Linked DNA regions of Alligator mississippiensis. The protein of the gene in region 3 interacts with the protein of the main gene of each other region in a pairwise test. Links are inferred from orthologs where the notes say so. Each region holds a gene or a part of one and is shown on either strand. Other genes may lie near its edges. The genes, in order: SLC23A1, CDKN2C and AHCYL1.

What was found.
Region 1: the proteins of AHCYL1 (region 3) and SLC23A1 interact in binary tests that used the Homo sapiens proteins (3 or more experiments, as listed by UniProt). The two-hybrid records come from large-scale screens. The link is inferred for Alligator mississippiensis from reciprocal best matches to the Homo sapiens genes AHCYL1 and SLC23A1.
Region 2: the proteins of AHCYL1 (region 3) and CDKN2C interact in binary tests that used the Homo sapiens proteins (3 or more experiments, as listed by UniProt). The two-hybrid records come from large-scale screens. The link is inferred for Alligator mississippiensis from reciprocal best matches to the Homo sapiens genes AHCYL1 and CDKN2C.

The regions. Positions count from the first base shown.
Region 1 is NC_081832.1:45,180,661-45,184,408, forward strand, and holds the start of SLC23A1 (solute carrier family 23 member 1), read left to right. Parts: upstream 1-1,122; 5' UTR 1,123-1,194; coding exon 1,195-1,230; intron 1,231-1,748; exon of another isoform or gene 1,749-1,859; intron 1,860-3,556; coding exon 3,557-3,646; intron 3,647-3,748.
Region 2 is NC_081828.1:8,172,013-8,175,760, forward strand, and holds the start of CDKN2C (cyclin-dependent kinase 4 inhibitor C), read left to right. Parts: upstream 1-983; 5' UTR 984-1,209; coding exon 1,210-1,341; intron 1,342-3,748. UniProt on the Homo sapiens protein: Interacts strongly with CDK6, weakly with CDK4. Inhibits cell growth and proliferation with a correlated dependence on endogenous retinoblastoma protein RB.
Region 3 is NC_081837.1:34,575,900-34,579,647, reverse strand, and holds the start of AHCYL1 (S-adenosylhomocysteine hydrolase-like protein 1), read right to left. Parts: upstream 2,181-3,748; 5' UTR 2,040-2,180; coding exon 1,932-2,039; intron 1-1,931. UniProt on the Homo sapiens protein: Multifaceted cellular regulator which coordinates several essential cellular functions including regulation of epithelial HCO3(-) and fluid secretion, mRNA processing and DNA replication.

The DNA.
Region 1 (3,748 bases), on a different chromosome or scaffold from region 3:
GCAAACAGAACTGTTGCCCATCGCAGGGACATGCAGGCAGTGGATCGTGGCTCTGCCCTGGGCCCCAGCTCTGCGCGGTCACCACCCCACAATCCTGGCCTCAGCCACAGCCCCCCTGGCTCCCACCTACCTGTCCTGCTCCAAGATACCACTCCTCGCCCACCCACAGCCCCATCCCATCCGCCTGGCTGAGTGCATCCTGCCCACATAGGTCCTGGGCCAGTCTCCATGGAGACCCTGCCCACCCACTCCATCTGGTGCCCCGGCAGTGGGTGCAGAGTGGGTGGGCCAGGGTGCCCAGGCAGCAGGGCGGGGCTGGCAACAGTGGCGATGCTGGCAATGGCAGTCAGAAGGAGCTGGCCGCTGCAGGGGCTGCTGGGAAGTAGAGTCCAGGCACCTCACCACCCCTGCCCTGCTGCATGCCTCGGGGTGGTGGGATTTGCAGCATGCACCATGGCCAGGACTGCCCCCCCATGCCTGGGCCAGGTAGGATCAAAGGACTCACTGTGGGCTGGATAAATCCCTTGGTGGACCAGATCAGGCCCACGAGCCATATTTTGCCCACCCTTGGTTTAGAGGAACACAGCTGGCTCAAACATTCTTGATCACTGCATTTTGGAGTTTCACAGCTGGACCTCTACTTGAATAAGGGGCCAAACCAAACTCTAGGGCTTGCCCCCACCATGCTTTGCAGCTCTGCCCACTTTCTAGTCTGCCTCTCTGCAGATTTACATTGCAATTGAGGCCACCTCTCAGGAGTGTGCACTTCAAAATGCTCACTCCCACAGAGGTCCCAACCCCTTGCAGAAAGCTGCTTTGGCTCCACTGCTGCTCCTTATCAGCCTCACACACTTTGGATGAACTGCTTAGGGCAGTTTCTATTCCAGTCTGTTTATGAACTGTCTTTCAGCCAGTCAATTACACTGTAACTCATCTCTCTATAATGTTTTACAACACTGCTGTGAAAAACTGATAAATGTGAGGAAGGGTTGTTCATTTCCTGTGATTAATGGAGTTAATAGATGATCTTCAAAAACACACCTCTCCTATATTTCACAATCAGCAGTCAATAGCTCTAGTTATAGATTGACTCCATGAACAATGTCTGATATGTTGACTAAAGTCCTCCACACTACCATAAAAACTACTCCAGCTCTTCTTTCCGCAGCAATCTCTGCACCACTCAGCAGGAGAATGGGGAAGAGTTCGGAGGATTTACCTCAGACCAAGGTGAACACATTGTCTGCATTTACCATATTCTCGCTTTCTCCCACCATCTGTATCAGTTTCCTTGCTTAGGAGTATTTGATATAACTGCATCTGAAGGAGATGGCAGGTATCTGCGTTGGTTATGAGAAGGGGCTGGTATAAGCAATGGAATAGGAGAATCTGAGAGTGTATGCTGCTGACCAGAGGCAGAAGGTAAAGGCAACTTTAAATGTGATCATTGCAGGAAGACAGATTCCACACAACGTGACCTGTCAGACTGACCCTTAATGCTGGGCTTTGCCCATGGCTTGGTTTGGCTTGGAGAAAGAGTGGAAGCCACTCTGCTCCCAGTGGGGGAGGTATCCAACCTGCCACTCAGGAGTGGACTGCTGGCCATCACCTGAAACACATGAGGTCCACGCATATGCTGTTGCTGTTGCTAGTTCCCTTCTTTCCTGCTCTTTCCCACCTCCCCTTACGCCAGCCTTGTCTTTAACACAGCACAGGGAAACCACCCAGCCTCACTTTGTACTTGATCAGCTGCTGCAACTCAGCAAAAGACTTGGAAACTCTTGGGAGGCGCTTCAGTAAGGGCACAGGAGAGAAGAGCTATAAGCATCAGGCCCATTCCCTCACCTCCCCCTGCCAGGGTAAGAATGACAGAAGGAAGAAAAGGATCCAAGGAAGTGAGGGCTTCTGGGTTTTATTCTGAAGTAAATTTGCAAGGAACATGATTTTAGCTTGCAGTGACTGGCAGAGTCCAGGGCCTGATCCTGTTTGGAGCTGAGCATCTGCAGCTTTCACTGAAAATACTGGGTTTTAAAGGCACAGATCTTTCCCCTCAGCCTTTTGTAAGAGTGGGCCCCTGTTGTGAGGGATTTTGAGCGACTCCTTTATAATACACATTAACATTTATTTATGGTCCACTTTCCATGCTGGGGAGGATGCCACAGAAACAAAGCTTTTTAAGTCAAATACTGCTTCTTTTACTGCATGGCTGCACTGCTCAGGGTGTTCTGAGTAGCTACTCTGTTGTAAGGGTCTCTGAATGTGCTACATGGGAGTGAGGAAGAGGATGATTATTATTTTAACTCTGTTTATATATGTTAGTGAGATGTCTGCAGCAATTCAGTTGTCCTGTTTGTGGCTTCCTTGTTTTGTACCTTTTTATTTCCAAAGTCTGATCTACACCCAGATTTTTGTACCAATTTATCTTTTTTCACTGAGTTGTGATTTTACCAGTATCATTAGATTAGTACAAACCCTAGTGTGGACACAGCTATTCTGCTTTGAAAGTGCCTTATTCTAGTATTGCTCATGTCCTTTCCCACGTAGAGATTGTTATAGTGGAACACAGATATTCATACCAGTTTAACTGTGTGCATATTGAAGCAGAGGGGTTGTACTAAGGTAGGTAAAATGATACAGTGTCTGTATGTAGGCATAAAGCTTGGCCATCTGATATGCTGTGGGGTGATGTAGCATGTTGCAGAGAAGAGACGCTCACTTTGCTCTCCCTCTGAGATGTTCATTTGAGTCTATCTTGTTTTGCCATTCCCTTTAAATGTAAGTCATGGCTACCTAGGCTGGGATGTGATGCTTGCTCTTGACAAAAGGAACTCAAACCAGTTCTGGGGGCTCCCTCATGCCGGGGTCCTTTTCTATGGATTCCCTGAGCTTGCTCGACTAGAGCAGCCAACACAATAGGAAGCAGCATCACACGCCCTTTCCAAAGCACTCAGCAGCACTGTCTGTTTCGCATTTGATCTTTTGGTGCTGTTGCTTTCTCTACCGTTTTTGTTGTTGCCTCCAAGGCCCTGCTATGTACTAACGAAACCAACACAGGTCATATAAGCACACAGCAGCTTTCAGTGAGTATAAACTTCATTCATACTACCAGCCTTCATTCATACTACCAGCCAGGTGATCAAACTGGTGATAGTGCAGGGTTAAACACAAATCCAGGGTGCTTTTGTATTCTATTGTTTTTATATGTTAGAAGCACTTAACATCAGCCTGCAGCACTGCCCACGCATCATCAATCATAGTTGGTGCCAACACCTTACAGTTTGCTGATTAATGAACTTATTTAATTAGAGCATTCCTTCATAGCATTCATATCTATTGTACCAGGTTTGGCTGTACCATCCTGCATGCTTTCCTTATCTATCTCAGATGTTCTTGAATGAACTCCAAATGTTTTGATGCATTCTAGTGCTTTCTGAAGATCTCCAGACTTGAAGGTTTTAACTACCTGCTCTTGGCCTGCCTTCTGGCCTACAGTTTCCCCATGGAACAGCTTAAATAAATAGTGACTTCCTTTGTTTTATATCTCCCTTGACACCAGAATGGCAACCCTCCTTCTGCTCTGAATGACAGGACACCTGAGATCATTGCTGAATATCCATGTGGGAAGGAGCCGGTCCCTGAGAACAAGGTGAGGCAAGGGCTCAGCTAAGGGTACCTGGGCCACTACCTTTACCTGAGGGATTAATGCACTGTAAGTTAGGGCTCAGCTAAGATGTAAGCAAGGAGGAAA
Region 2 (3,748 bases), on a different chromosome or scaffold from region 3:
CGTGTTATGCACACATCTGTACCTTTTATACCGCACTATGTGCACGCATCTTGTGCAACATATGTACATGTTGTGCACGCATTTGTACATTTTATACCACACTATGTGCATGCATTTGGTACCATTTTGGTACATGTGCATGCATTTTGTGCCACGTTTGTACATTTTATACCACACTGCACGCATTTTGTGTCACGTGTTGTAGCGCATGTTGTGCACACGTTTGTACCTTTTATACCGCACTATGTGCACGCATTTTGTGCCACGTGTTGTGCACGCATCTGTACCTTCTATACCACACTATGTGCGCACATTTTGTGCCACATTTGTGCATGTTGTGCACGCATTTTGTGCCACGTGTTGTGCACGCATCTGTACCTTTTAAACCGCACTATGTGCATGCATTTCGTGCCACATTTGTGCATGTTGTGCACGCATTTTGTGCCATGTGTTCTGCACACGTCTGTACCTTTTATGTGCACACATTTGTACCAGGCTTGTGCGTTTCGCGCGCGCACGCCGCGGTGCTGCGGAGCGGCGGCGGCGGCGGCGGCACGGCCGGGGTGGGAGCCGGCGCTGCAGGTGCTCGTGCTGCCTGGCGGCCGATGCTCGGGCCGTGACTCGCCCTCGTTTGCACCCTGCGCGTGTCAGCCATGCCGGAGGCTCCCCCCCGGCTCGCTTTTGCGCCGCACCCCAGACGGGAGGGGGCGGAGGGCGCTCGCCGTCCCTCCGCGGCATCCCCGGCGCCGACCCCCGCCAGCCCGCGCTCCCCGCCGGCCGGGCCCCCCCGCGCCCGCCGCCTTTGACCTTGGGCGGCCGGGGCCGCGGCCTGCGGCGGGAAGCAGTGCGCAGGCGCGGCCGCATCTCCGCGGAGCCTCCTTAAATCCGTGCCGTTAAAATGTGGGCGGGAGCTCGGCTCAAAAAGCGCCCAAAGTTTTTTCTTTTCAAAAAAAGCCGAGGAGGTGGCAGGAGCCGCGGCGGGCGCAGCCATGCGGCCGGGCGCGCAGGGGCGCGGAGCGGGGCGCGCAGCTGGGCGCGCTCGCCCGGGGCGCCGCGGCTTGGCGGGGCCGTCACGTGTGATCGCGGGGCGGGCGCTTGGCACGGGGCGCTTTTACGAGTATTTACTACGAGGTCCGCTGCGGGCGCCCAGCCCTGCCCGGGCTGCTGCGGGGCGCCCATGCCCTGCCCGGCCGGGACGGGTCCCGAGGCATGGCCGAGCCCGGCGGCGACGAGCTGGCGTCCGCGGCTGCCCGCGGGGACCTGGCGCAACTCGCCCGCTGCTTGCAGGAGCGCGATGGAAACGTGGATGCGCGCAACCGGTTCGGGAGGACGGCGCTGCAGGTTGGTCTCCGGGCTGGGGGGGGGGGGCCCCATTCACGGCCTTTTTTTGGAGGGGGGTTGCTGTGTTTTATCTCTGGAGCGGCTGCAGCTGCCTGGCATGGCGTACTTGGAGGAAAAGGGGGCCACGGCGTTGCTCGCAACGGGGCTCCGGGTGTAAGAGCCGCGGGGGAGGAGGGCAGGGCAGGTCTGTCAACACGGCGGGGTTGTTCTCCGGAGGTCGCTTTGCTCTTCCTTCACCCTGTGCCTTTCGACACGCGCCCATGGGGTGGGATGGGGCTTTTCCTTCCTCTGCTGCCGCCGAGCCAGCCTTGACCTCTGTGCCGTGGCAAACACGCCGCCCCGCGCGGGCGCTGCCGGGCGGGGGTCCCCGTCCAAACCCCGCTTTCCAAGCGGGCGGAGGGGCCCGAGAGGGCAAGACCGTGGGTCTGCATCTGCAGGGATGAGGTTTGCAGACGGTCGTTGGAGCTGATCCAAGTCCTGAGCACTGGGGCTGATGACAGATTTTTTTTTTTTCTATTCTTTTAAGACTATCATACAATGAAGACGAAAATGAGGGAAGAGAGGCAGACACAACCCCCCCCACCACCCCAAATAGACAAGCCATTGATAACCGAAGGGGAAATCTCCTCGAGTGGCTGTTTGCACGCCAGACAGGGCAGGGGAACGTGAAATAAGAGCCGTGGGCGGGGGGGGAGGGGGGTTATTCTCGAAGTTTACACTTTAAAACATAGTTTCTATTTTAAAAAGTGACAAAACGGTGTGCACTTTTGAAATGTTTTCAAACAACAGAGGGATTGCAACTCGAATGACAGCTATTTACTCAGCTTTGGCTTATCATCAAAATGTAGGGTCTCGAGAATGAGAATCTCTTGTAGGAACACAACCTTGATTTCCTTTTTACATTTTTTTCCTTAAATTCAAGGACTGTCAAATTGTCCCTGCGCTATTCGCCCAGATACAGGCGATTTACTGCAGACACTGGTGACACCTTGGCAGGGAAAGGAAAAATGTGACTCAAAAAGACACCCATCCTAGCTGCTGTAGGAAAGCAGGAAACCTGTATCTAGATTTTTATCCACAAAAGGAGGCTGAAAATCTGAGTTGCAGTGCAAAAGAGATATTTTTTCCCTACAAATATCAGCACTCACTGCATGTGGACTGGGGAATATTTTACAGTTCCTGTGACTCCTGGCACTATCACCCACTTTTTATTGCAACTGAATCGTAACCGATGTAGTGAACCACAACAACAATCAGAACAGGGGAGTCTGACTACTTGTTTTCAGTTTGTATAATCCTGAAACATTTTGTGGGTGAGTGACCCAGCTCAAGAAAGATTTCTGTCGATGCAGCCTCGATATTACTTGCTCTGGAGTCCACCAAATGAAAGTGAGCACAGCGCACGTTGTCTCCTGCTGCTCGTTTCAACACAGCGATTCAGCATTGTCTTCCTCGAGTCTGTGCTTTTCTGTTTGACGAGGCAAACCCATGGAGGCCTCGGCTACAGACTTTGCTAATGCATCTTCCTCACAAATGCTTTCTCCTGCCCCGATTCCCGCCCCCCAGAGAAACTTTACAGCCTCAGCTCGGGTTAGAGCCCAAATCCAAGTACATTAGATTTATTCTTTTTTTTCCCCCCAGCTTTCTTGTCTTGGTTCCCTTGCACGTGTATAGCCCCCTCCCAAGCCTCGTAGGGTTCTTGGGTGCTCACAAAACACGAACAAATACGTCTGGGTTGTACTAAAAATACTGTGCACTTATTTTCCTGAGAGATAAATGTACTTTCTATAATCTCCATCCAGAATTAAAAGAAATGGCAGGTAACCTGCACAAAACTATCTCAGATAAATACTTTTCTGCAAGCCCCAAACCAGCCGAGTCTATTTGTCCCCACCTAAAACAGACCATGATAAGCTGCTATATAGTTTCGAAATGCTGCAGCAATGATGTGTGTTGTGAATGCCTTTTTTTATCAACTCGAAATGCATATTATTATTTTTTACAGTAGCTTCAGGTTTTCAATCCATGCCTTCTATAAACTGTAATTTATGCTTAATGTAGTGCAACTGTCATCCTTGTTTATGCTAAGAAGAGAAAGAATCGTAATAAGATTTTCAAGATTGAGAATTAACATGTTAAATAAAGGAAACTTGTTCAGAGCAGTTTTTCATAATAAAACCGTTTAGTTGTGACAGCAAAGTCTCGAAAAAAAGCACTGTCCTCAGTACGGGGACAACTGTGAATTAATTAGTTTCATTTTATGAAAGACCGGGGGAAAAGAAGTTCTTGGGAATTCCTGAAGCATTTGTGTGAGTTAGCTAAACCCCCAGTCAGACCCCAATATATCCGTGTGCTCAGTGCTAGTGGTTTCATGTGCTCAGACAAGGGTAAATATATCAATTTTACA
Region 3 (3,748 bases):
GGATCGCTCAGGCTGCCACAGTTGGTTGTTTCGAGGAGCATGCTTGCTTCTTCCATGACCAGCTCTTCTCTCAGTCTAGCTCCTGTCCGAGAACCTCCTCATTAATGGTCCCCACCTTTGGGCGCTTTGCCTGGGAAACTGAACACACTAGCAACCTGTCTGCATGAACATGGAGGGATGTTCACTCCTATCAGCACTTTCACTGCACACTGGTGCTCACAGCAAGCATAAGCATAAGCCTCCCCTTTGAAAAGCTATTCAGTAAGAGTTAGTACAAAAGAGAAAGCACCCATACCAATGCCCCGGGGATATTCCCAGCTTCCCCCATCTGATCTTCAATGCACCCTGCCCCTTAAAGAATCATTTGCCCAGAGGATGTCAATCAGGGCAAGGATTTGATAACTTCCCTGCCAAGTTTGGTTTATTTCAGCATTTTTAATACCATACCTGCTAGGGACCTCACTCCTCTGATGAAACCATAGCAGGAAGCTCTCAGCTATTTTCCTGGAATTTCTAGATAAAGGCGATGAGCTTCGAAGCTCACAAAGGAGACGCACAAGACACTCTGCCTTGCATTAAAAATAAAGAAGGGTCGCAAAAAGTAATAAGGCCTTTTTCCGATTATGATTTTGATACAAAGCAATCTGAAGATGCCTCGAGCTCCGAGACAAGCCGCAGACCCTCAGCACTGGATGCTTCAGAGCAGCGTTTCTCAACCGGTGAGTCGCGACCCAAAAGTGAGTCACAAGAATATACGAAAGGGTCGCGAACAAACTTTAAAAATGGATCAACACACTTTGAAAAGAAAGGAGAAAAACATGGGCAACTGTGGCTTTTCCCTTGCAGGCTGGCAGAGGTCCAGCCTGCGAGGGGCTGCTTGGGACCCCCTTGCCTCACACCCACCCACTGCCCCACACACTGAGGGGCTGGGGGCAGTGGTTTGGGACTGGCCATCGAGGTTTACAAACGGGTCCTGGTACAGAAAAGGTTGAGAACCGCTGCTTTCGAGGTTGCCAGTGCCTCTGCTCTTCACAATCGCCAGATGGGCCTGGAGCATTCATCCTTCAGGGCTGGCGCTCGTTACGTTATCAGCCTCAAAGCTCATCTCATTGCATGCCCTCCAATGCTCGGGGCAGTATTACAGCGAGATCAAGTCAGCAGCACGACCCAAGCACAGATTCATAGATGCGAGGGTCAGAAGAGCCCTCGACAGATCATCGAGTCCAACCCCCTGCCTGGGCTGCAAAACAGCCTCTACCTACACCCGCAACGTCAAGCGAATACCTCTACGGGCTCACCGACCCCTCGGCCTGACGGAGGAGCATCCCCAGCACGGGTCTAAAGAGCCTTCTCCACGCTACCACCACCTGCCGGGGGATGCTAAGCGCCAGGTATCCCTCGGGCAGTGCCGACATCGGTTTCCCATTGGTTTCACAGCTCTCCGGTGAAACTGGAACAGCTGGAAGGAGTCTGGCTCCCGCGCTCCAGCTGTGGCTGCACCTCTGGAACGGCAGGCAGGGCTCCTTCGCCCAGGCCCGAGCCAACGCCGCCCGCGCTGGGGGAGCCCCCGGCTCCTCAATCCCCAGCAACCGGAGGCAGGTTAAGCAAGCGCCCCGGGCGCCGGGAGACGCCCGAAAGGCGAGCGGGCGAAGCACGAGGCTGGCACAGCCCCGGTCCCCCCAAGTCAACCCCAACCCCGCGGGCGCTGGCTTAACCAGCTGCCCCCCTGTTGCAAACAGACCGAGCCGTTATCCCGGGATAACCCACGCCGTCCCGGGGCAAGGTGGGCAGACACCCACACCTCTATCCTGGAGTAAACCCTTGCTGCCCCCTTGGTGGGGGAGGAGAGGGCAGCAGGGGTTAATCCCGGGATAGCCCCACACAGGGGAGGGGAGGGGAGGGGAGGGCAGACCACCCCCCCACAGGGGTACCTTTTTGGGCGCCTTGGTGACCGTGGCCATGAAGTTGAACTTCTCGGCGTCCTCGATCTCCTTGGCCTGCTTCATTTCGTCCCCGCCTGCCGCGTCCGGCATCGACATCCTGGTGCTGCAAGCCGGGCCGAGCCGAGCCGAGCGGAGCCGGGCGCGGGGACTCGAACCCGCGGAGTCGCGGGGCTGGGTGGGGGGGGGCAGCGCAGAACTCGTGCCCACCCGGCCGGACCTCTGCAGGCGGACTGCGGCCGCCGCACGCCGCGGGAGGGGGCGGGGCTAGGCGGGCATACGTCAGCACGCACGGGCCGGCTTAGCGTTGGCACGCATGGGCCGGGCAAGGGACGCGAGGGGGAAGTGCTGGCAAGGGGAGGTGGTGCGGAGCCCGGCTGGCTGGGTGCGACCCCTGGAGGGGAGGAGTGGGGCGTGCAGCAAACTGTGTGCAGAAGGGGCAGCGCTGGTGGGCACTGGACATTCAGGGGCATGCTGGGGCTGGGAGCCCACACTGCTGAGTGTGTCAGACTGGGCAACTATGTGCCAGGAGCGTGGTGTACCTTCGTGGCGTGGGATGGTCCCCGTGCCCCCAGAGATGCCAGTCTAGATGTGCAGGTTGCAGATAAACCCAGCAAAGGCCCGTGCCCAGCATCCTCCCGCCCCGCTTCAGGGTGGCATCTGCAGGAAAGCGGTGGGAGAGGACGGAGAGGATGCATCCAACTCCATCTGGAAAAGGGACACATGGCACCGGCTGTTCAAAGTCCCCCCTGGGAAAGTTAGTGGACAGGAAGAACGAAGGGGACAGCGATGCAATTGGACCTAAAGAAGGCGAGGAGGACAACAACAGGATCAGCAGCAGTAGAAGCGACATTAACAGTGACAAGGATGGGAAATGAACTGAGAAAGGGAACCCCAAATCGGGGCCGGGACTAAGGGACTGTGCTTGGGTTAGGGCAGGGCAGAGGGTGGGTGCACAGGGAAGCGGGTGTAGTTTTTGTAACAGGTGCATGGGTTTCTTAAGGTAGTTTTAAAAAGAAAAGGTGCAGTGGAAGTCTATGATAGAGGATGTGTATACATACCTAAATGTGTGTGTGTGTGTGTGTGTGTGTGTGTATATATATATATATATATATATTAATTTTTTAAAAGATGGGTGGCATCTGCAGGCTCCTTGGACTTGTTCGGGGCACTGGGTGCTGGGCCGTGCCTCTGCTCTGCGTCCCCATTGGGATCCACCTTTGGTCTTCGCTCCCAGCCCAGCAATTCCACGTGTTGTCCCCAGTGATCAGGCCTTGTGGCCTCCCTTTGACTGAGAGGGCGTATAGTTTACAAAGGGCTTGCACTCGCCATCCCTATGTGATTAACAGGCCTGCCCCCATGGCATCCAGCTTGGGATAAGGCGTGGTGGGTGGGTGCGATGCCAGTGCTGGCAAGGGCGCACTTCCCAAGCAGCCCCCAGGTGGCACTGTCACTCCTCGCTGTCCAGCTGTCATGCAGTGCCAGCCAGGCACCAGGGGGAGCGCGGCCCCCAGGGTTAGACCTGGGTGCTCAGGTCGGCTGCAGCTCAGACACCCCTGTGCTGCAGCCTGGGGACAAGGGCAGCCCCAGCCCTGGCCATCCTTGTGCTGGGATGTGGGCTTCTCCCCCCAGGGTCTTGCATCCATGTGATCTTGCTTCTGAGCTGAGCGCTCAGCCCGGTGTCAGTGGCTCTCCTCCTCCAGACCTACGGCAGGCTGCTGAGATTCACAGTCCCTTTGGCCCTCAGCTTCCCTTGCAGTGCTGCTGTTGCTACCCCTCAGTTGCAGCAGCCCTCAGCGTTGCTCTGG